Drosophila melanogaster: one gene and its partners. The protein of the gene in region 3 interacts with the protein of the main gene of each other region in a pairwise test. Each region holds a gene or a part of one and is shown on either strand. Other genes may lie near its edges.

Region 1 (5,681 bases), on a different chromosome or scaffold from region 3:
CGGTTTCTCCTTCGGCTCGGCTTGGGCTGGGGCTTGGACCGACCACCTTCCTTTCCGCCTTGCCAGTCTCGAATTGGATTTGGTTTTTGGCCAGGGCCAGGAAGCAGTCGAGAGCAAGCGCCCCAACTGCGAGGGGCGTAATTGCCCTACCCCCTAAGCCTCCGCTCCGAGTCCAAATCCCAATCCCATTTCAATTTCCATTCCCATTCCCGTCACCATTGAACTTGCTCAAAGGTCTGCGCAGCTGCAACTGCAACAGAGGCAGCAATGCCAGTTGCAACTGCAACAATGGCTGCACTTTAAACAACAAACTTTGAAAGTTAAACCAGGAAATCCGAAGCAAAGCATGCAGTACATAAGGAGTATCAAGAGAGCACCATAATATAGCAGAAAATCGAATTGACTTTTTCAAGACTTTCCCCACAATTCTAAAACTGTTGCCCACAATCTCGTGAATCACTTGTAGCACACCTTTTTCTCTCTGTGTGTGGATGCAACTGGTTTTTTGGGAAAACCACGACATTGCACGTCGCTAGTTGCTTTTAGTTTCTGTATCGGTGTGCAATTTCCTTTTTGTTTTTGGGCGCTTTGAGAATGACTTTGCTTCCGCGTGAAGATGCGACGGCAGGTCTGGAGTTTCGAGTCGCGAGCCCGGGTCGATTATGCAATATGGGGAAGATGTGCGTCTTCGTTGCATCTGATGTTAATGTGCGACCGCCAACCGGTTGCCCATCGTCATTGCCGTCATCGCCGGGGCAGCAGAAGCAGCTTCATCATCGTGAGCGTGGCCCTCTCTAGCTGAAGATGTAATCCCCATTGAAAGATGCTCTGATGGCACTGGAGTGCAGCCCATTTGCTCCAGCTCAGCGGCTTCCAGTTCGAACTTCATTCGGCACAGCATCGTGATTATGACCGGCGATGTGGCTTTATTGGCAACAGATTATTGCGTCGGTGTCCCGCTTGCTGCTCCCAGCTAGTTCCTTATGTAAGCCCGCTTTGTTTACAATCCGAAACAGTTTAAATGTATATTAATTATTCGGCAGTGATGGAATCTGCCGAGCGAGCAGTCAGCTGCCTAGCTCCGTAGCTGCCAGATGAGAAATGATAATCAGCGACGTAATCGAAATGGCCGGATGGCCCCGATTCGCTGGCTCGGCCCAAGTCACTCACTGCTAATGAAAACAGTGGCTAATCAACGGCGAAAGCATGGCGGCGGGGGTTGTTGGGGCGTCCAGATTGGTGGGTGGGTGAGTTGGAGGTGTTGGGTGGCCAGTGGCCATGACCTCTCTCCGCTGCCAGTCGGACATCTTGCTGATGTAAGCGCGAACAAAACCCACGGCGCGTTGCCTTTTGCCCATGTTGCAGCGCGGGGGCATGACAAGATATTTTTGATGTTGCTGCAGGCGAGGCTTAACCCAATAGCGCTCGAGAGCCTCTCGCCAAACGGCGACCTGACCTGGCCCAATCCAAAGAACAGTAACTGGCTCCTTCCCTGCCTCACAGCCGCGGCACCACTGCTTCGCGTTGGTAAACAAAATTATATTGATAATTTCCGGCACTGGTACGGCCATCAATGGGTTAATGACTAGCGACAGTGAGCAGCCAGCGGGCAGCAGCCAACCCGGCCAACCCTTGGCCAATCGTTATGCAAGTCTGGACCAACAATAAGGAATTGCCAATAGGAAGTTCGTCGTATCTACATAAAAATCCATAAACATGAACGTCAACAAAATACCTAACGGTTAACAACCAGCATCGGCGATGTGATAAAGTAGCAATAGCAACGAGCTCTGGGCCAAAACTGGAACTGGTCAAGTTGCATATTACCACAGTTTGAGTTTCGGTTTTAGCTATTTTCGGCCGCCAGCCCACGAAGCTTAGGGCCACTCAGATTTTCTCTCGAAAGAAAGTAGAGCACAGAAGCGAATGCTCCTCGAGAGAGTGTGTTAGTGCACTGGGAGAATCCGTGTATTACAATTACAAAATAAAAGTCTTAGATTTAGAAAAACATTTTTATGCAGTATCCAAGCTGCTTTCGTAAAATATGATTTTCTTACGTAAATATAGCAAAAGGAATTTAAGATATCTTTTAGCGATCTTAAATTGGTCTACGAAACCGGTTTTGTTTATCATGTAAAATATTGAAAATGGAAAACCAAAGATGATTGATACACTTAAGTTGGCATCACACCATGGGATTTAAAATAATTTTGAGTCACAGACCCTTTTTTACGTTATCCGTGTGGTATTGCAATTGGGCACATGCTGGGGATGATGATGTGAAAGGTCAACACTCTCGCGATCTTCAGAAAGGGAGAGTGAAGACTGGATGGCCGAGAAGAAGACGAAGACGAAGACGCGGCCAGTTGGCCTTCAATGGGTCGCGGTCGTGAAGTCTCCAGTGGTCTGGCTCCACTTCATTCAGCTCGTCGTCGGCGAAAGAGATTATCTCTGCACTTGCTCAGCGGCAAGCGATCGCTTATATAACCGCATGGCTCCCGAGTGGAGAAGAGGGCTATAAAACGGCGTGTGCCCATGTTTGCCGAATCATTTCCAGTCGGTCCAGAGGCGAGCAATCATTCGAGAGTCCTTCGTAACGAATCCAGAGAAATGGCAGCCCGTTTCATAGTGAGTTTGGCACGACACCACGTCAGTTCAGGTGGATCCTAACACAGATTCCCTCCTCCCACTCCCAGATCAGTGCGCTTCTGCTGGCTAGCCCAGCGGTATGGGGAAAGCCCACCTTCGGACGAGAGCATGTCCACATCCGTATTCACCTGCCAGAGAGCGGTGGGGATCACGGCGGCCACGGAGGCGGTGATTTTGGCGGCCACGGAGGCGGTGATTTTGGCGGCCATGGAGGTGGAGGCTATGAGATTCACTCCCACGATGGCGGATACAGCGGCGGTGGAGGAGGCGGTGGTCATGTGAACACCTATGCTGTTATCACCGAGAACCACGGATACAGTTCCGGGGGTGGCGGAGGCGGTGGAGGTGGCCACGGATACAGCTCCGGCGGATATAGTTCCGGTCATGATGATGCCAAGATTGCTGCCATCGCTGCTGCTGCTGGCTCGTCCTCCGATCACGGACATGGCGGACATGGAGGCAGCGGCGGACACGGCGGAGGTTATGGTGGCCATGCCATCGCCAACATTGCAGCCATCGCCGCCAGCTCAGACTCCTCTGATCATGGTGGCAGCGGAGGATACGGCGGCTACAGCGGTGGCGGTCACAGCGGAGGAGGTCATGACACCCAGGTGATTGTGGCTGCTGCTGCGGCTGGAGATTCACATGGCTCTTCCGGCGGATACGGCGGCGGATCCTCCGGTGGATACAGTGGTGGCTCCTCCGGGGGCTACGATGGTGGATATTCTGGTGGATCCTCTTACAGCGGAGCCTCCTCCTACAGCAGCGGCTCGTCCTACAGCTCTGGAGGATACAGCAGTGGACATGGCGGTGGCTATAGCAGTGGCGGCGGATCCAGCTATGATACACAAGTGGTGGCTGCAGCCGCTGCTTCAGGCAGCGGTGGCTCCTACGGCGGGTCTTCCGGCGGCGGTGGCGACGGATACAGCTACTCAGCGCCGGCCTCAGGCGGCTGGGCAGGATCCAGTTCAAACTGGAAGTAGACGGCAATGTCCGTCGTTGGCCATCTGGTCGTCTAGTCTACTGTTCACGTTTAACTTATATTTGACATGTTCGCTCATCCATATTCCACACATTCTCCCAAGATACTGGTGTACAAAATAAACCATGTTAGTGTAATAATTTAAGCCAGCCGCCCAGTATGTGATTTACCTAATGCTTGCCCAGTTTTTGCCGATTTTTCTCCGCCTCTTTCATCGGAGCTATATAGTGGCGCTTAAACATGTCATAGATGGAGAAGTACACGGCACTCATCAGTCCTGCCTTGAGTAGAGTAGGCAACATTCCCTTATAGAAGCCTCCGATTCCTTCCTCCCGAAACGTGGTGGTGATGCAGCCCAGGATCGTAGGGCACTCGGGGTTGCGACCAAAGGTCTTACGTTCCTGTTTGAAGGCCATCAGCTGGATGCGCTTTTTAAGCAGGTCCGCCGGGTACACGATCATCTTGGCCAACACCCCTGACAGCGCCCCATTGAGAAACAGAAATGCGCCGTGGATTTCCTGGCGCTGGTCGGGAGGCTTGGCCATCAAGACAGCCGCGTTGAGGTACTTGTAGAAGAGAAAGTTTGCCCCTACCAGCGGAAACACCTGCACAAGCGTGAAGGGTAGTCCTCGGGAAAGTCCCATCCACCCCTCCATCTTATAGACCTTTCGAAGTCCGGTAAAAGTGTTCATCTGACTGCGGCGCGAGGAGGGGTCTGCGGCCACCATCTGTGTTCTTACCACGTCGAACGGCTGGGCGGCCACGGCTCCCAGACATCCGGCTATGCCGCCGCAGATGAAAAACATGAGAAAGGGTCGCTCCCTCCAGTAGTCAAACTGGTGGGCCATGGAGCGAAGCTGTTCGTAGGACCAGAACTGTACCAGAGCGTACGAAATGCTCAGAACCTGGCCGGAGTTGTGACCACGGAACATACCGCGCATTCCCTCCTCGGCGTACACCGACTTGAAAGCGTGGATGACTCCACGGTATTTGGACCCCTTATGGTTTGTCACCGGCTCCACTTGCATCTGGAATCGGATCTTCAGAACGTCCAGCGGCTGGGTTATGGTCCGCGTCGCAGCTCCGGCGATTCCGCCGCCGACGGCCTGCATTAACTGGACTACCACCGAGTTTTCGGGCATCGGATGTGGCGACGAGCAGTGGACGGATTCACTCACGGCAGGAGTTATTCACTGTACAGATGAGGACGAAGTGGTGTGTTGTCATTCCGCAAGCTAAATTTCCTGCTACTGTATAAGAAAGTGGCTAGGCTTTTATTAAGCTCTGGCCAATTACACAGTATTTTCCAATTTAATATTTAGTCGAAATTTTAAAATACACAATAATTTCTCTGACAAGAATGTAAAAGCTTAAAATTTTTAAGGTGTCTACGTACTTTAGTTGGGGTCTGCATGTGAATGTACATACATTTCTATGCTTGTGTTGGTTGTCGCATTATTAATCCCTTCGATCTCTTTCAGCTGTCGCCAAGCACCAGGTTGTCGCGTACACGCAGAGGTCGCAGGTTAAGCACGAGAACCGGCACATCCAGCTGGTGCGGGAGTACGGCTTCCACCCGCGCACTAAGGCCTCCGTGGAGGACGGCGACGTGCTGCCCCGCAAATTCGAGCCCTTTCCGGAGCACATGTACGGAAAGCCGCTGGAGGAGATTGACACCTTCATTTACGAGGAGGTGAGTACTGCCGCGTTCAACATTCCCTCATTATCCGCGGCCTCGCCTCACTTGGCCGCCCATTGGCTCTAATTAAAAAGTCACAGGCAGGCGACCAGACCCCAGATCCGTGTTCTCATGGTAGGGCAATCCTCGTGGTGGCAGGTGCAGGCGGCGGAAATGGAACGCGGCGCGCGGCTGTTGTTGCTTTTGTTTTCATACCGCCGTCTCGCTGCACTTGCCCCATTGTAGGCACAAGTGGAAGTGCACTTTGGCTCAGGGAAACTGGGGTTAATGGAAACGCCTAGAACGGCCCTCGAAAACCGAAAAGGAAATCAGGGTAAATGCCGTTCGTTCGTTAAATTTCAAAGCCGGGAA
Region 2 (6,050 bases), about 13 Mb from region 3:
TTGGGATCTGTGATCAGCAGGCTGCCAACGTCGAGTCGGCATTCCAAATGCTTTTCTACTGTGATCGGCTTGTATTTGTCCAATTCCTTTTGGTGTTTGGCCAGAACTTCTTTAACAACATCCATTTTCAGGGAATTAGCGTATAAACAGCAAAATTCAATTCCACGTGCTGACAACTGTGACCATGCACTAGATTTAACGAATAGGCTAAAAAATACTAAATAAATGTACCAAACTCGCACCGAAGACTCAAACCTTGCAGGGAAACTTGGCTATATACTTATCAGTCTATCGGCGCCATTTCAAAATAAGTTTTTAAATTAATTTTTTAAAGATCCTCGTTTATTTTACGATCTCTACAACGTAACGTCCAGCGCTTTTCCGCCTCGTCCAACGTTTGTGGCATCGTAGCTCCCTTGGTCTCCGGCAGAAACAAGATTATTAAAGCGCCTATCACGGACACCAATGTGATAATAAACATGGGCAAGGGACGATAGTAGCGGTGGGTGCTGAGTACAAGTGGTGAGAGTAGGGCACCCATCTGACCCATAATATTGATAATAGCCAGTCCCTGACCGCGCAGCACGGTTGGCAGTATCTCAGAGGCCCACTGTTGACCCACATTGTAGGCCATTGTGGCGAAAAATCTGGCTGCAATCGCTGCCGTTGATGCATTCCAATGTCCTTTTAGAATACCAACGAAGAGACTGGATGCTGCACACAATAGCATGACAGCCGACATCATGGGCTTGCGACCAATTCGATCTAGCAAAAGCATTGGTACGATTCCAGCAGGAATTTCAACGAGCGAGGAAAGGGAAAAGGTTATAAATATATCTGTGTCCAGGATTTCGACTACGCGAACATGGGCATCGTATGCTAGGGCCACAGTCATCCATGTGACAATCAAAATCGTTAAGACGACGAGCCTGGGAAATGTCTTAAAGAGATCCAGACTGGTGTACTGCTTTCCCAATTGCTCGTTGGCAAATTTAAGTTCATAGCATTCCCGCATCTCGGACCAAACCTCTTCGGAAATGATTTTTCCATTGGCTTTGGCCGCTTCTTTCATGACTTCAATACACCGGTCCACTTTACCCACCGACATAAGCCAACTGCAGTGGGAAATGAAGTTTAGATAGCTTGAAAACCTATTGTTATCATTAATTTACCTTGGTGACTCTGGAGCCAGCAAGCTGGTCAATATCATGAATACAATTGGCAGGGCAACGACCATGGCATAGTGCCTCCAATTACTGATGACATAGGCCAGCCAGGGAAGCAAGCAGGCGCCCAAGGTGAAGAAGAATGTGAGGGCTAAGTTCCCCACCAGTGTGCGATACTTGATGCCAACGTTCTCCAAAGCTGTTGAAAAGAATGTGATGATGATATTTAAATTTATGATTTATGTTAATTGACTCTGCAACACTCACTTAGAATATAAATGGGAACGAAGCAGTAGTTCATTGACAGTCCAGCCACAAATCGGCTGGCAGCAAAGCAGGGAAAGTCCTTGCAGACCACACTTACGCAACCGCCGATCATGGAACAGGAGTTGGCCAGAAATAGTGCAGGCAAGCGACCGGAATGATCGGTTATGAATCCAAAGCAGAGGCAACCAACAATACAGCCCACAAAGTAGACAACGACGCTATATGTCCCGAAATCCCTTTTGTCGCACACCCAATTGTACTCGGTAGCGATGGACTCGTAGGGCACCTCCTTGCGATCATAGATCCAACCATTGTTGCAAGGTATCGGGCTCCTTGTCTGATTCGCATCGTTGGTCGCATTTGAGTCGTAGGGCACATTGTACATAAAACAATTCTCGAAACTGCCATCTTGCTTTTTGGGGATTCCCCGATTCTTTTGTTCACTTTCCGGCAGTCCCTCTAGTTCTCGTACTCTGCACCAGTGATTCTTTGGCAACAGTATCATAAATATCTGACCAAAGTAGGTGAATGCGAACAGAAAGGCGGCGGGCATCATCCAAAACAGCAGTCGCTTCTGAAAGGGGCCAAAGTCCCCAATGAACAGCAAGAAGTTCTCATACTTTTCACAATCTCTGGGGGGCATTTCGACATTTAATATTATAAATATGTACTAAACAAAAGCCAACTTCTTTAAAGCCCTCTTTTTGAACCTTAAATAGTTAAATATATGTTATTTTGAATAAACCATTCAAATATCAACTTTTTGAACTCCACTTTTTTCCGCCAATTTTCGATTACTTTCTAGGCCTTCTATTTTAGCTTCATGTTCGGCTGGTCACACAAATGCACATAGATATCGATAATTGACAACATCCATATCTAATTTGCGCGCGAAAAAACTTTTAATAACAATGGATGTGGATTTACTGCCGCTGAGAAAGCGAATAACAAACACCTTCAAGCTATGTGGATTCCTGATCCGCTCGGAGAACAGTTCCTACCTGGCGGAGCAGCTGCTACCCTTTGACGCAGCGGAACGGGACAAATGGCTGACGGTGATCACCGAGAATCTCCAAAGCCAAAAGCTTTTGACGCCTCATGTGGAGCGAGCCGCCCTGGAGAAGGCCATCAATGAACTTAACCGGGTGGGATTGGATGAAGGGGAGACGGTCTTTGCCCTGATCGATGCCTTTACGGTGCCCCGTTTTCGGTACAACCAGCGGATAAAGAAATTCGAACTGGACACTCAGCCGCGCCAGTTGCTGACCGCCCCGCGCATGAAATCGGACTACATGCAGCAACGATATGCCATGTTACTACAGAAAACTCTGCGACACGATCTCTTTGCCCCAGCCGTCATACAGGATGGCGTTGGGGCCGAGGCCCAGGCCAAGAAATTTAAGCTCCAGTTCGCGGAGAACCTGCTGGCCACGTCGGCGATGAAGGAGGCAGTTGTTTTGGGGCTACTTACCCAGCTTAAAGAGGGCAAGTTCTATGTCGAGGATCCCACGGGTTGCGTCCAGTTAGATCTCACTGGAGCCCGTTTCCATGCCGGCTTCTTCTGCGAGGGCTGCTTTGTTTTAGCCGAGGGCAACTATAACAACGGTGTGCTCAAGGGTAAGTAGCCCAAAGTATTTAATAACTACATCTCAAGAGTTTCTTATGTTTCCCCAGTTGATGGCCTGGGCTTTCCACCTGCGGAACCGGCAAACAGCAGTCGAGCATTTTTCGGCACCGCCAACACTTGGGGCGGTGAATCTGCTAAGCTGCTGAAGTACTCAGCCGGACTACAGGAACTGGAGCGTACCAACACGGAAACAACCATTGTTTTCCTTTCCGACGTTCGGTTGGATCTGCCGGTTGTCATGGAGAAGCTGCGCCAGTTGTTCGTGGGCTATGATTCCTGTCCGCCGCAGGCTATAGTGCTCATGGGTCCCTTCACGGCCAGCACAAGGAATCATCATGAACTGAGGCATCACCTGGATGCATTGGGTGGCTTGGCAGCTGGCTGCGAGCAGCTGAAGAAGCAAACGGATCTGATACTCGTTCCCTCGTCCGAAGATCCCACGGCACCTAATATTCTGCCCCGTGCTCCAATTCCCGAATGCCTGGCAGCCGGGCTGCTAAAGGCCTGGCCACGCACCCAGTTGGCTACGAATCCGTGTCGCCTGCAGTACTGCACCCAGCAGATTGTGGTCTGCCGTCTGGATTTGATGGCCAAGTTTTGTCGCAACACCTTGCATTTTCCTGAAGACACGTCCCAGATCGAGCAGCATTTTGCCAGAACGATTGTGTGCCAGGGTCATTTGGTGCCCATTCATCCGATTGCCATGCCAGTGCACTGGGACTACGATCCTGCTCTGTGGTTGTATCCACTGCCGGATCTGATTGTCATGGGCGATTCGTGTCAGAGCTTTAGCAGCAGTCAACATGGCTGCACTGTTCTCAATACCGGCTCCTTTGTCAAGTCCAAGTTCGCATTCAAAGTGTATATACCAGCGACGCGAACGATTGAGGACTCGGAGATACCGGACGAATTGGAGTAGTTATGATATAGTTAACCTTAACGTAAGTTTGAATAATTATTTAATTACATATGTCGATTACTCTTTGGATTTCGGGCTATTTGGGCAATTTTTTTTTTGTTTTAAACAACTGCAAGCCTATATTTAGAAAGAATACCATCAATTTAACAATTTGGATATAAACTTCTTTCGGGAGCTTAGCTCACTGCGACCTCACATGTTGCTTGGCCCGCCAGCTCGAAACATTTTTCGGCACCCAGTGCGTGTGGCTGTTCCCTCGTGATAAGCGGCCCAGTCTCATCATCACCGTCGTCAGTCATCATATGCGCACAGCATGTGTTCCACAATCGTCTCCTGGCTGTGCGGCTGACGCGCCTCGCAATCTGCTTTTTACGGCGACCGGGGGTTGTCTATTACTTTTCATGACTTAAAGCCGATTTGGAAAAATATTGTTACTCTGCCCGATGCCGGCCACTTAGGGTCGTGGAAATTCAATTTCCCAGGCTGGCGCGCAACTCCTCGGCAGCTGAAACGGCAATTTTGATAATGCGTTTGACCTGAGGACATCGATGGCCCCCATTTGCTGTCACATGACCAGTTGCCGAATCGTTTTTTTAAGACATCATTAGCCGGGTAGGATGTGGAAGTGGGGAGGTTTTTTTTTCCTCCTGCCGAACGGCTCGAAGCGTTTTGCTCTCCTATTGATTTATGATTTATGAGTGCAACTTGGCTAGTTGTATGCCGCACGTCCCTGGGATCAATTTCCAAAATGTGTCCACCATGAGTGTCAATTCGATTTGGTGGGCGTGGTCAGCCTTGGGTGCTAACTATATTTTCATTTTATCCCTTCGAGTGTTGAACATTTATATTCCTCTGTATACATGGTTTCTCTCCAGCTCCTCAATGCAGAAAGGCAGATTCAAAATGCTTGCTGTGCGACAGCAATCTTGCTTCTGCTTCATTTAACTGGTAACATTGGCAACTTTTGAAATTTAAATATTGTTTTGCGGTTGCTCTGCAACTTGGCCGCAATAACATAAAAAAGAAAACATTTTATCTGTTATGGTCATCGGTTTTTATGGCATTCTCCCCGCAAAGTTGACACCATTTAATTTGGAGCTCAGCTTGATCCCCGCCCACCAGACTTTGGGACTCGATTAAAGCAATCGCTGATGCGGAATCCGTGAATCTGTGTCTTGGCCATCAATCACTCGACCAGCTGCGCCCCAAGTGGGCCTGGTCCAATCAAGGATCAAAGCAACTGGCCATCATATCCCACCTTAGGTTATCCTTTTGCACACACACACATGCTTGGCAATCAAACGGCGATGCACTCATGTGCATGTCCTGTGGTTATTTGACAATTGTTAACCCGTCTCTGGGCTTTGTTCGACTGATTCCTCGGTGTTGCCAAGTGGCCATATGCCAAGCGTCCCCTGGAAATCCATCCGGTAATCCTCGACTTGGTGGTGTGATTTTGATTCGGCAAAATATTTCAAACTGGGGTGGCTATAATCGTTCTTCGCTGATACCCTTTCGATGGAGTATGGAAATAATTGTGTGATTTTTCCAATGGAGTCCTGTTACAAGCATAAATACAAGCTGGCTATTCAAATAAATAAAACATTAATAATCTAAAACTACTCATAGTAAAGCACATGTACAATTTCCGTAATGGTAAAAGTTATTTTTATTGATATTAGCAGGAAATCATAAAACCCAACTTGTATTTGATGTAATTTTTTTAAAAATTCGTGTGGCGTTTACTCTATATCTTAATATAGAGCATTTCGATTTATTACCTCGTATGTAACATGCATATATAATACCATTTTAAAAACCCTTCGAGGGCATGAATATGGCAATATTTTTAGCGCATATGGTCAAAGGTTTTGCGTGGCTTTTGCTTTGAAACCACAACGTCAACTGGAAAATCAAAAGCTCGCCTTTGTTTATGAACCCATTCTTTTGTTTGCAACCATTGATACTTGGAGGGTTTATTAACTTTTTACGAACTCAACAATGAGCTGCATCCTTATAGCTGCTGTCGGCATTCAAAATTTGATAGGGTTATCATCAACATTGTGTGCAG
Region 3 (4,939 bases):
TTCTTTAGCCATTTTTCATTTCAGTTATCTGCGGCGTTGGCGTTGATGTCTACATGCATGGCTATCGGGCCGGTCTTTATATAGTGTAAGTCACGGATCTAAATATCCCCCATAACTATACTAATTTCTGGTTAGTTTTTCAGCCGTGCTGGTAATGTTTATCGAGATCAAGTGGCTTGTGACTATCTTCCTGCAACTTCAGTGCGCAGAGTAAGAAAACTATTCAAGATTACCAAATAACATGTTCATAAATTATAGTTATTCGTATATATATTATTTGATAATTAGCAGTTATTATTTATGAAATATAGAAATTCTAGTTACCAAGCCTAGTAGTTGTAAAACTAATTAAACCCTAATTATACTATAATATGATATACTTTACTATTATATACAATACTCTATATCAAGTGCCTTTGCTCAGATTTTTCTCTGCAAATTTTTCTCTGTTCACATATTTGTGAATTCAATTTGTTTCAGGGATAATTACCAGCGAAGGTCCTGCAGCTGCTTGGCCTGCTGGCGACTTTCAGCGATTTGTGGCGGTTGGCGACCCACTCCTGTTTATGCGGTCATCGGCATCTGCCTGATCCTGTATCCCCACAATCTGTGGCTGAGTTATGTGGCCGGGATGTTCCTGATACTCCTCGGACTCCTCAGACTGTGCACGCTGCTCCGATTCAGCGCCTCGAAGGAGGAGGGTCTCCTGCCGCAGTGCGACTTTGAAAAGTGATGCCAGCCAACGAATGTCTTTGTTATTTGTTTCTAATGTCTGTTTGTTCTGCGATGATAGGGTGTCGAGCTTTGTGGATACCATGGAGGATGATTTCGCGGAGATTGGTGCCACGCAAGCGGGATTGGATGAGGAAGCGGAGGAGGAGGGCGACGACCACACCGCCCTAGACGACGATGTTTGCTAATAGTTTAAGCCAGCTTTTCTGCCTAATGTAATGTGAGATTTTAAACGACTTAACAAATGTCTAATAATATACAGTTTGTAAAGAGGTTTCGATTTAAACGCTGAGTGCGTGGTATATTTTTATAGGTAATCGATAAACCCACACTTTGTATGATTTTTGGTGTCATTTATAAACGAAGCCACTCAAAAGTCAAAAAGGACATTCTTCAAAAGAATTTTGAAAGTTCCTTTTAAGTATTGGGTATCTGCTTTTTACCTACAGAAATAATTATCAAAGCTATTTCGTTTTAAATAATGTTATTTTAATTTCGTCTTTTATTGTTTTTTGTGCTAAACGGATTTCTGCGTTCACTAAAGGCCAAAATGAAGGGCTGGTCGTCGAATTCTTCGGTTTTTCTCAGACCAAAAGAACGCTCATTGCCGTAATCATACTCGTCCTCATCATAGTAGTTATAGTAGTGCCTCTGGTGGCCTTTAGGGCCTCCATGTCCATGTGATGGAGGAGGAGGAGGTGGAGGATACGGATACGGTGGATATGAACCTCCGGGATATCCAGGAGGACCCTGAGGACCAGGTTGGCCAGGGATTCCAGGCATCCCGGGGTGGCCCTTATCTCCACGCGGCCCCTTCTCGCCGGGATCACCCTTGGATCCTTTGGGGCCGGGATAGCCCTTCTGCCCCGGCTGTCCCGGTGGACCAGGTGGACCTGGAGGACCGGGCGGACAACCGCATGGCTGTGGCTGAGGATACGGATACGAATAGCTTGGCGGATAGTGTGGCGGATGATAATGTTGATGATCGTGATCCTCCTCTATGATCACTTCCTGTGGCGGGGCTGGAGCGGGACTTCCAGTTTGGAGGGTGATCAGCCGGGGCACTGAGGCATCATCCTTGGCGAAAACTCCCCCAAGAACAGACAGTAGTGCCACCAGCAGAATAGTCCAGTTCGCAGAGAGAACTTCCAGATTCGACGACATGCTGTGAACTAACGAAAATCAGATCGCAGTCACTTCTTTTATGTGGATAAATGCGTTTGAAAAATGGCAACAGAGGAGAATCATTCAAACTCCCGTTAAGATAGCTCATTTGAGATCTATATGTCTTGTCTTACGATCGCATTATATTTGTATCGTATGCTAATTTCTCTTGTTTAATAAACCAAGCCATTTATTTATAAAGTATCTGATTTGCATAATATTCAATGAATGAGTTGAGTTTTTGGGCTGATGAAAGAACTTTCACACCAAATGGATGTCGGACTTTGTGATCGAGCCATGAAAAGTGAATTCTCGTATTCTAGGATAGATCAATTAACAGGTATATGTATATCATTTCTGCGCGTAAAAATAACATAAACTTTTACACAAATTTCATATGGAACCAGAGCAATGACTGGTGGTGACCGAGATGATGATTTTTACATTTAAACGGAAACATTAACCATTTTGAATAACTAATGTGTAATTTGCTAACACCTGAGATACCACCTGTCCGTCCCTGTGAAGCACAAAAGAAAACACTTTCGAGACATGCTAAGAATGTCTGTTCGCAATTTTATTTAACTGTGGCTTCTTTATTATTCTTTTGTAAGTGTAAAGTGGAACTCATGATGACAAGAGCCCCGCCCACATAAACCTCAACAAATTTCTGGTTTTTGGGCAGATCTCATAACACTTTTTGCATACTCACGCTTCAGTCTAAGTCATTTGGATTTGTGGACATTAGTTATGTTCGAGAAGTTTCTGTTTTTGTTAACATATGTATGTAAATAGTTGTAACTTTTAAAGTTCGTTTTATTTGTTGTTTTGCTTTTGTTTTACACATGTTTGCTATGCAATAAACATATTAAATAGTTTCTTTAATTATAAATTTACTTTGTTTAACTATTATTCTCTCTTATTCGTGTTTTCGGTCGGAAAACGTTGAGGTAGCTGCGTTTGCAATTAATTGTTATAAGTAGCTATTCGCTTGTTTATATCCCTGATATAGGCTATTTAAGGTTCTGTTGTGGATAAGAAGAGCTCAAATTGTATTCATTATTATTCAGACAATACATAGATAATTGAAAGAATCAACCGAAAAGGAATAACTAAAGTTTATGTTTATTTTATTTTGTATATATATTTATATAATATTACGATAGATATATTACGCATCAACATATACATAGAAAATATTCAAATCGTTTAAATTAAAATTAAAGCATATAAAAAATCAAACATTAGAAGAATATCAACAATTAAGAGAAACAAAAGTTAAGGCTTGTCTGCTGTGTCTGATGGCTAAAAGGGGTTTTTCCGATCGGGCTACAAATATCATCGGATTGGAGAATATCCTTTTTGACTGCGAATAGTCAAAAGGTAGCAAAAGTAAACTCGAGTTGACTAGATAGTGGATGGTGGTTAGTTATAGTTAACTTTTGACATGGTCTCTGTGCTCGAACGGATCTGCTTTTACCGAACAAAAAGTATTAAAATGGTGCTAAGCTCATATTCAGAACTGTGATTAATGGCAATTAATCTTTTCACAAAACTGATTCATTTAAATCATCATGATACATTATCTGGCAGATACACAATCTTAATAGCCCGATCCAACTGGCAATCGCTTTCGCATGACAAACAAACCTAGGAACAAACCAAATAAAAATTGGGAAAAGTAACTAAAAACAGAAGAAGACATTGAAGAAACTGATCTGAGTTTTAGTTTGTTATCACTTGCTCTTCTTATAACATACGACTAACAACTATCTTTGGGATTCATTCGAACCTTGCTGGCTTTTGTTCTAGTTCGCACTACTCTGGTTTGATTCTTTAGTTTTTTTGTGGCGCTCTTACAGCTCCTCTTGCCCTTCACTAACCCTTCAATCTTTTCCATTCATTCTATAAAAATATATAAACAATGTTTGCCGTCCTTGGAAGGCTAGGGTGGTTCGATTTATCGACGTGCAGGGACTGAAATATTCTTGTGGGAGTTATGTAATTTCTTGACATTTCGTACAATAGTTCTTGTTGTTAATAACAGCTCTTAAGTTCCAAAATATCAAAACTTAATCTGCCTTTGACTGAAAATTTCATTCCAAATTAGTTCCAGTTGTGTTGATACGTTACGTTAAGAATTGCCAAAAAAATACTTAGTTCCTTGTGGATTTTCTAACAAAAAATCCAATCACCCCAATGAAGAGTTAGCCCCACGAAGGTTGGTATTCTGATCTGTGATCTCTGACTGGGCGGTCATATGGGACTGCTTGGATTTGATTTCTTACTGGGACATAGACACCACGTCAAGGCCCGGAAACTTTCCCAGATCTTGGTGTCGTGTCGTTGGATTGGGCATGGGAGAGGGTGTTGGATTCTAGACGGGATGCTAGTGCCTTTAGTGCGGGCCCATCGCCACCGGTTAGTAGAAGGAGCTGCACCAGGCATCGCCCGCCGTGGGGCTTAGCAATCCGACCAGACTGGCACTATGGCCGGTGGATACGGCGCCAGTCGCCACAGACGGAGGCGATGCCGTGGAGCCGCCGGCGGTATGTGTCGAGCTGGGCAAACACTGGAAGCAGTAGTTGGCCCCGTAGTTGTTGTCCCAGAACTGTTGGCCTTTGCACTGGAACCTTACGGCGAACTCCAGCCTCTGGCCCACGTGCAGCGAGTTACCGAACAGCACGAAGGTGAAGATGTCGGAGAAGCCATCGCAAGAGTTCTCCACGTAGTTTGCCTGCAGGTCGGCGTAGCTTCTCCATCCGTCCAGCGAGTACCTTATGTGCACCGACTTGTGAAAGTCCAGATTGCGCACACGCACAGATCCGGATATCGTCTGGTTGATGTTGTCCGTCACGGCAGCGTTCTCCAGGGACACCTGCTTCTCCCGGACCGCATCGAGGAACTTGGGCAGGCCTCCTGGCTGCTGGAACAGAGGCATCAATAGCTTGTCGGACTTGGGCCCCAGCTGAAGTGGCGGCTCCGACTCCAGTATTTCCAGGTCCTCGAACGCCGATTTCGGTATGGTGGGTATCTCGTCCAG
Region 4 (5,830 bases), on a different chromosome or scaffold from region 3:
AAAATAATTTAAAAATTTAGGATTAAACATCGATTTAGTGTTTTGTGTAAAGAGTTTCTTGACAGTCTCAAAAGTGTTTAAACTTGGAATTTGTTGTTTTTTTTCTTGTATATTTAATATTTTTAATTTGTTTTTTGATTTATAAGTAAAATAAATATTGTTTAATTATATTTTATAAAAAAAATGCGTTTAATTAAGCAAAAAACCTTTAATTTTTAGCTTTAAAGTCAAAAATTCAACTTATTTCACAGTGTGTAAACAGTTTCTTGACAAACTGTATATTTCGTTTGTAGGACCATTGGTAAATATTTGTATCTAGTTAGAACGGACGTAAAAGTCGTAAGGCAACATTCTCAAAGTTATGTATAATCTATAAACACACGTTTTTAATCAAAGGCCATATTGGTCAAAAGCTGATAGCACATATTCGCAAAACAAGGAAAGTTCACTACAAATCAAGTTTTGAATTAATTACGGATTCTTTTGGTCAGTACATCACCCGAACATGGAGTACAATCGCCAGCCGTGTCCCATCAGGATTGTAGAGGATTGCGGGTGCGCCTTTATGATGGGCACCATGGGAGGATCGTTGTTTCAGTACCTCAAGGGATTCCGAAACGCTCCGTCCGGTCTTCGACGTGGCTTGCACGGCGGTATAGAATCGGTGAGGTTGCGGACACCGGCCATAGCCGGCAGCTTTGCCATTTGGGGCGCCACCTTCAGCACGGTGGACTGCGTCATGGTCTCGTACCGCCAGAGGGAGGATTCCTGGAACGCGATTGTCAGCGGAGCGGCCACTGGCGGAATTTTAGCCGCCCGGAATGGAATTCGAGCCATGGCCAACAGTGCCTTTGTGGGCTGCCTCGTTTTAGCCATGCTCGAAGGAGCTGGAGCAGCAGTGGCTACGATTTATGCATCGGATGGAGGAGTCAAAGCAGAGGAGTCCCTAATCACTGTTGACCAGCAAATGCAGAGACCCCAGTGGGAGACATCCGTTGCTGATTCGAACCTAACTGGGGCGGAGTTAGAGCGGGTGTTGGATGAATGTCGGGCATACAGGGCACACAACAAGATGCAGCAGCCTATGCGTTCGGACGCAGTGGAGGGTAAGGAACTGGGGCAACTGATGAAGCCAATGCACTCGTTGGTCGATCTGGTAAAGCTGGCCGAAATTGTCTGATAGAAAAGCTTTTAAGGTTTTAAGTCAACCTCCCATGCTTCTTCCAAATTAAGTGTTAATTCGATATTCAGCGTTAATCTTATATTATTTTTAAAAGCCCAGTAGGTACAAGGAATGATTTTCTATCTCATGGAGAATATTTTTCCATCTTCAATAAAAGATCAGCTGATATTTGATTGCATCTAATAAAATACTATGGCACTATGCAGGCTCAAAAGAGCTTCTAAGAAAAATATATCTCTTCTAGCGTGCCACCATGAGCAGTATTATAGTATTATACATTTTTAACTTATGTTTTAGCATAAAACTGTTGAAACTGAAACATCTGACCTGTCCACTGACGACCTACCTTCCTGATCCCATGAAGCTGGCATCCGCCAGACCGATTTGATAGCTGGAGCTCTTTTCGCCATTATGGTGATGATGCTGGTGCTGCTGCTGCCTTTGACCTGTTTCCGTTTCCGCAGCTGCAGCCTTCTCCTGGCTGCCCGGCTGCCCGAGGAGATTCAGCAGGTTGTCTACCTCGGCGGGCCAACTCTGCGCCTGGTGGGCAGGCGTCATCATCTGGGCGGTGGAGCAGTTGGCGCCGGCGCCGCTGCATTCCAGATTGGCAGATGCCACAGCTTGTTGCAGTTGCTGGATCTGCTGCCGCTGCTGCTGCTTATTGTTGTTGCTGCTGTTGAGCTTTTGGCGGGTCAGGAGGCGGCACTCGGTGCGGTGGTCGGGCCAATGGAGATGCTGGTGGGCGGGGGAGCAGTAGTAGACGGCCTTGCACTTGGCGCAGCGCAGTAGTTGCTGCTGAGTGCCGCAGATGGAGCAGCGCGGCGGGTCCATGGCCGATTTGGATGCGGAGTGGGAGCCGGAATGGCTTGCTGAATCCCTGACCTTTCCGCGACCCCTGCTCATTGCATTTTGCGGGAGAGGAGAGCCAAAGGCGACGACCGATTTTAACCTTGACAGCTCTCCCAGCTTTTTTTACCCCACCTCACCTACGCCAACTGAGGCAATCACACACACACACGCTCGCAGATTATGGCTATTTGTTATCAATGCGAATTACGGCACTCGGGCGTTTTAGCCAACATTTCACTTAAGACTGTTTGTGCTTATTTTAATCACGTAGGCCACCGAATTTGCCAAATAAACAAAAAAAAACGCACATACAACGCACACACACAGACGCACGGGCAGCTATATGTGCATTGTTGTTGGTTTTTCCTGCGAGTATTCTCTTTTGTAAGACGTTTTAGGGTTGCAACTTTTAACCCTATTGACTGTTTTATACCCTGCCTTGAGCTCTATTACGCCCCTTGTTTATAAAAACCGCGTAAACTGTGCAAAAAAAGGGAAAAATTCTTAACTCAGCACTAAAATTTCTTTTTGATAGCGATGGGCGTCGACCGATACTTAGCGTGCAGCGATTGACATGTACTCGTTGTACAGCACTATTACCGGCGGGCAGTAGGTATCGATAGCTGAACGAGCCAACGTTAGTGGTGATTATTTTATACTGGCACTTATATACTAACGGTAATCAAAGCTTTTTATTTCGCTATTTTTATTTACTAGCTTTAATATTTAATTGCACAAGATTCGGAAACAAAAAGCTATTGGGAAAATTAACTCAAAGCGGCCATTAACCCCATAAGAATTACTTTAATACAACTTCAGTCGATCGTTTATCAATTAAGCAAGGTCTCTAAGAATGGCAAATACCCTTATCGTCTATTCCAATACATTTATATATATATATTTTAAAGTCGATAGTCGATAGCGCGATGTGCCATCTCCATTATCAAAACTAAACAGATGCTGGGCGGAAAATCAACTGGTTCCTCGTGATAACTTAATCCCACTAATAAGCGCAATGTCGTCCAGTGAACGAGTGGCCAAAGTGGTGCTGGTGGACATCGAGGGCACCACCACTTCGATTAGCTTTGTGCACGATGTCCTGTTTCCCTACGCCAAGCAGAATGTGGAAAAGTTCCTGAGGGATTCGTGGGAAGAAGATGATATAAAGCGTATTGTCCAGGATCTACAGCAAGTGCCCCAGTATGCGGACTACAAGGCCCTGTTAAGTGGTCCACCTACGGAAGTGGATGTAGATCTGATTGCAGGCTTTGTGCGCTATTTAATTGATCAGGATCTGAAGGTCACGCCAATGAAAACGCTGCAGGGCTTGATTTGGGCGCAGGGCTACGCTAATGGAGAGCTGAAGGGCCAGTAAGTTCCCCATTCAATATTCTCCTATCATGGCCATATAAGTTTTACAATCTGAACTCTAGAAGGTTATCAAAGAAAAGGCTTACTTAACGTCTGTTCCCAAAAATAATTTGGGTGTCTTTCTGAGATCCAATTATACAGCTTGGTGATTTTTTAAATATGTATGCTAGCTATATTCTCCGCACGGGAATGTTTAACTTTTGCTGATTTCAATAGTTATCAGATAACATTCAACATAGTAACCAAAAGTACAACGCAACAACTCATTATTATTGATAATTAATTAATTATCTATAAATGTTATTATAGTGTATACGAAGACGTCCCTGCAGCTTTTGAGGCTTGGCGTGCTGCTGGCCTCCAGATTGCAGTCTACTCCAGCGGCAGTGTGGCTGCCCAAAAGCTGATATTCGGTCATAGTTTGGCCGGGAACCTGCAGCCGTACTTGAGTGCTTATTTCGACACCCATGTGGGCCACAAACAGGAACAGCAGTCCTATAAAAACATTGCCAAGCAATTGAAGGAGGACCCGAAGCAGATACTCTTTCTCACGGATATTCCAGGAGGTGAGTGGCTGATCCACACGAATCCTCATCCGTAACATTTTTAATGTGAAATTATATTTTAGAAGCGGCCGCCGCTCGCTGTGCGGGCTTGCAAGCCATAATTCTGAAGCGTCCTGGAAACGCCGCCCTAGCAGACGATCAAAAAACTGGATTCGAGTTGATTCCGGACTTTAAACCACTTCACAACCTGAAAGTTCCGGTCAATAAATCCCAGGCTTAGGTCATTCCAAAAAAGTATACATATATTGTGACTATGTGCTTGGGAATTAGGTGAATCTCTAGAGGAAAGCTCGATCTGCGCTGCACAGGTCGTCACCGCTGTCGTGGCTGGGCGTCTCGGTCGTGAGCCCCTGCGGCCGTCGTTCGGACCGCTTGCTTCGTTGAGACTGCCTCGAACAGGACTTTTCTGAGCCATAGACCTTACGCAGTTGCTGCAGCTTAGTATCCGCATCGGGAACAGGAAACTCTGACTTTTTCTTCCTACGTTGCCGGCTCCCCTCGCACGAATGACGCAGTTCCTCGGTCCGGCAGGTGTGGGTGAGCTTGCCCACTTCTGGACCCCAGAACGTGGGTCCTTCCAGAAGAAGGGGAGCGGATTTGACCCGTTGACGCATCATCTCCATATGCAGTTCGTACTGACGCTCCTGAAAAGCCTGCTCTGCCTTGCGAGTGGCCAACCGAATGGATAGCAGTGCCTTGTGGGATTCGCTAAAGAAAGAACACTGAATGTGTGCGAAACTTAATATTTGGTGAACTACTCACTTCAAGGACAGTGATTTCCAAGCCGGCGTTTTCCTCACCTCCCAATCGAATTGCGGACGAGGATCATGATAAGTGCAGTTGTTCTTCAGCTCCTTAACCTTCTTCCTAGATACTTCAGCCCTCAAAGTTGCCGCTAGATTAGGACGAGATACCGGATGCAACGGGGACACACTGGGCGTTCTCCTCTGGACCGGTTCCTCCGGCAACTCATAGATGCTCAGCGGTGGTAGTGGCTTCTCATCCTTTACGCTAGACCCTGGCTTTGGTTTCCTTACTCTTCCGCGTCTTCCTCGACCTCTTGCTGCGCTGGAAGCACTACTACTTCGCTTCGACGAGGTGGTGGGTGATTGAATCTGTATCTTGGGAATTTCCTCCTGCTTGCTGAGTGGGAAATAGTTGCTTCGCGCAGGCTGAGCTAGTTTGGAAGGCTTCGAATGAGCCTCTAAGGCAATCCCTTGAAGATCATTGACACTAAAGCACCTGCGCAGCATTTCCCTTCGGCACTTGGCCCGTTCTGCCGTGTGCTGGCCAGGATTGGCAGTCTTCTGGCAGCGGTTCTGCGTCTGACTTTGCTTGTTGGTTTGTGTTTGAGTTCCGTTGCTGCTCGTGGACTTTGGCCTGCGGAACTCCGCTTCGAAGCTCTTAAGGGACCTCTTGAAATCCGCAACCTCCACTGCAAAGTCCTCCTTAAAACTTTTCAGACGACTCAAGTCCCTGAGGCACTGGTCGTACTCGTCGCTTAGACAACTGGAATTGGGAGTATGGACAACTGGGCGGGTAGCGCATCTATCCTGTTGGCCGGGGATCACTAAGATTGCTGGCGGAGGAACAGGATCCAGCACCAAAGGACGTTTCTTTATCTTTTTCCCCTTGGAAGGCCGCTTTTTAGACTTTCCATGACCCACAGAACAGCTGCTGACACTGGCACTTCGCTCCACAGTTGGAGCAGTTGCTGCCTGAGATCGCAGTTCACGGCTGGTGCTTCGCAGGCTCTCCAGAGTTGAGTAGAACTCAACTCGGTGCAGGTGCTTCACATCACGATAGTCTAGGGAAAGCAAAATAATTGTGGTGAGTATGTGTCTTTCTAATTATCCATCTT

The links.
Region 1: the proteins of CG14089 (region 3) and CG9083 interact in a two-hybrid assay, tested with the Drosophila melanogaster proteins (one large-scale study listed by BioGRID).
Region 2: the proteins of CG14089 (region 3) and PolE2 interact in a two-hybrid assay, tested with the Drosophila melanogaster proteins (one large-scale study listed by BioGRID).
Region 4: the proteins of CG14089 (region 3) and Enoph interact in a two-hybrid assay, tested with the Drosophila melanogaster proteins (one large-scale study listed by BioGRID).

The regions. Positions count from the first base shown.
Region 1 is NT_033778.4:24,895,732-24,901,412, forward strand, and holds CG9083 (uncharacterized protein), read left to right. Parts: upstream 1-2,541; 5' UTR 2,542-2,610; coding exon 2,611-2,628; exon of another isoform or gene 2,629-2,696; coding exon 2,697-3,632; 3' UTR 3,633-3,774; downstream 3,775-5,681. Other genes in the region: NaCP60E (Na channel protein 60E), read left to right, coding at 5,113-5,324; Tpc2 (thiamine pyrophosphate carrier protein 2), read right to left, coding at 3,802-4,773.
Region 2 is NT_037436.4:5,893,674-5,899,723, reverse strand, and holds PolE2 (DNA polymerase epsilon subunit 2), read left to right. Parts: upstream 1-2,288; 5' UTR 2,289-2,344; coding exon 2,345-3,050; intron 3,051-3,107; coding exon 3,108-3,979; 3' UTR 3,980-4,033; downstream 4,034-6,050. Other genes in the region: CG32409 (uncharacterized protein), read right to left, coding at 1-125; CG5592 (uncharacterized protein), read right to left, coding at 329-1,115, 1,173-1,365, 1,434-2,076. UniProt on the Drosophila melanogaster protein: Accessory component of the DNA polymerase epsilon complex. Participates in DNA repair and in chromosomal DNA replication. Has a role in the entrance and progression through S phase. Has a role in endoreplication. Essential for viability and tissue development.
Region 3 is NT_037436.4:19,278,905-19,283,843, forward strand, and holds CG14089 (uncharacterized protein), read right to left. Parts: upstream 1,897-4,939; coding exon 1,222-1,896; 3' UTR 1,216-1,221; downstream 1-1,215. Other genes in the region: CG14086 (uncharacterized protein), read left to right, coding at 25-85, 136-210, 481-729, 794-920; Gbs-76A (glycogen binding subunit 76A), read right to left, coding at 4,319-4,939.
Region 4 is NT_033777.3:5,253,821-5,259,650, reverse strand, and holds Enoph (Enolase-phosphatase), read left to right. Parts: upstream 1-2,969; 5' UTR 2,970-3,047; coding exon 3,048-3,403; intron 3,404-3,712; coding exon 3,713-3,969; intron 3,970-4,031; coding exon 4,032-4,189; 3' UTR 4,190-4,207; downstream 4,208-5,830. Other genes in the region: Tim17a2, read left to right, coding at 506-1,180; Hph (HIF prolyl hydroxylase), read right to left, coding at 1,530-2,086; CG1113 (uncharacterized protein), read right to left, coding at 4,248-4,677, 4,732-5,776. UniProt on the Drosophila melanogaster protein: Bifunctional enzyme that catalyzes the enolization of 2,3-diketo-5-methylthiopentyl-1-phosphate (DK-MTP-1-P) into the intermediate 2-hydroxy-3-keto-5-methylthiopentenyl-1-phosphate (HK-MTPenyl-1-P), which is then dephosphorylated to form the acireductone 1,2-dihydroxy-3-keto-5-methylthiopentene (DHK-MTPene).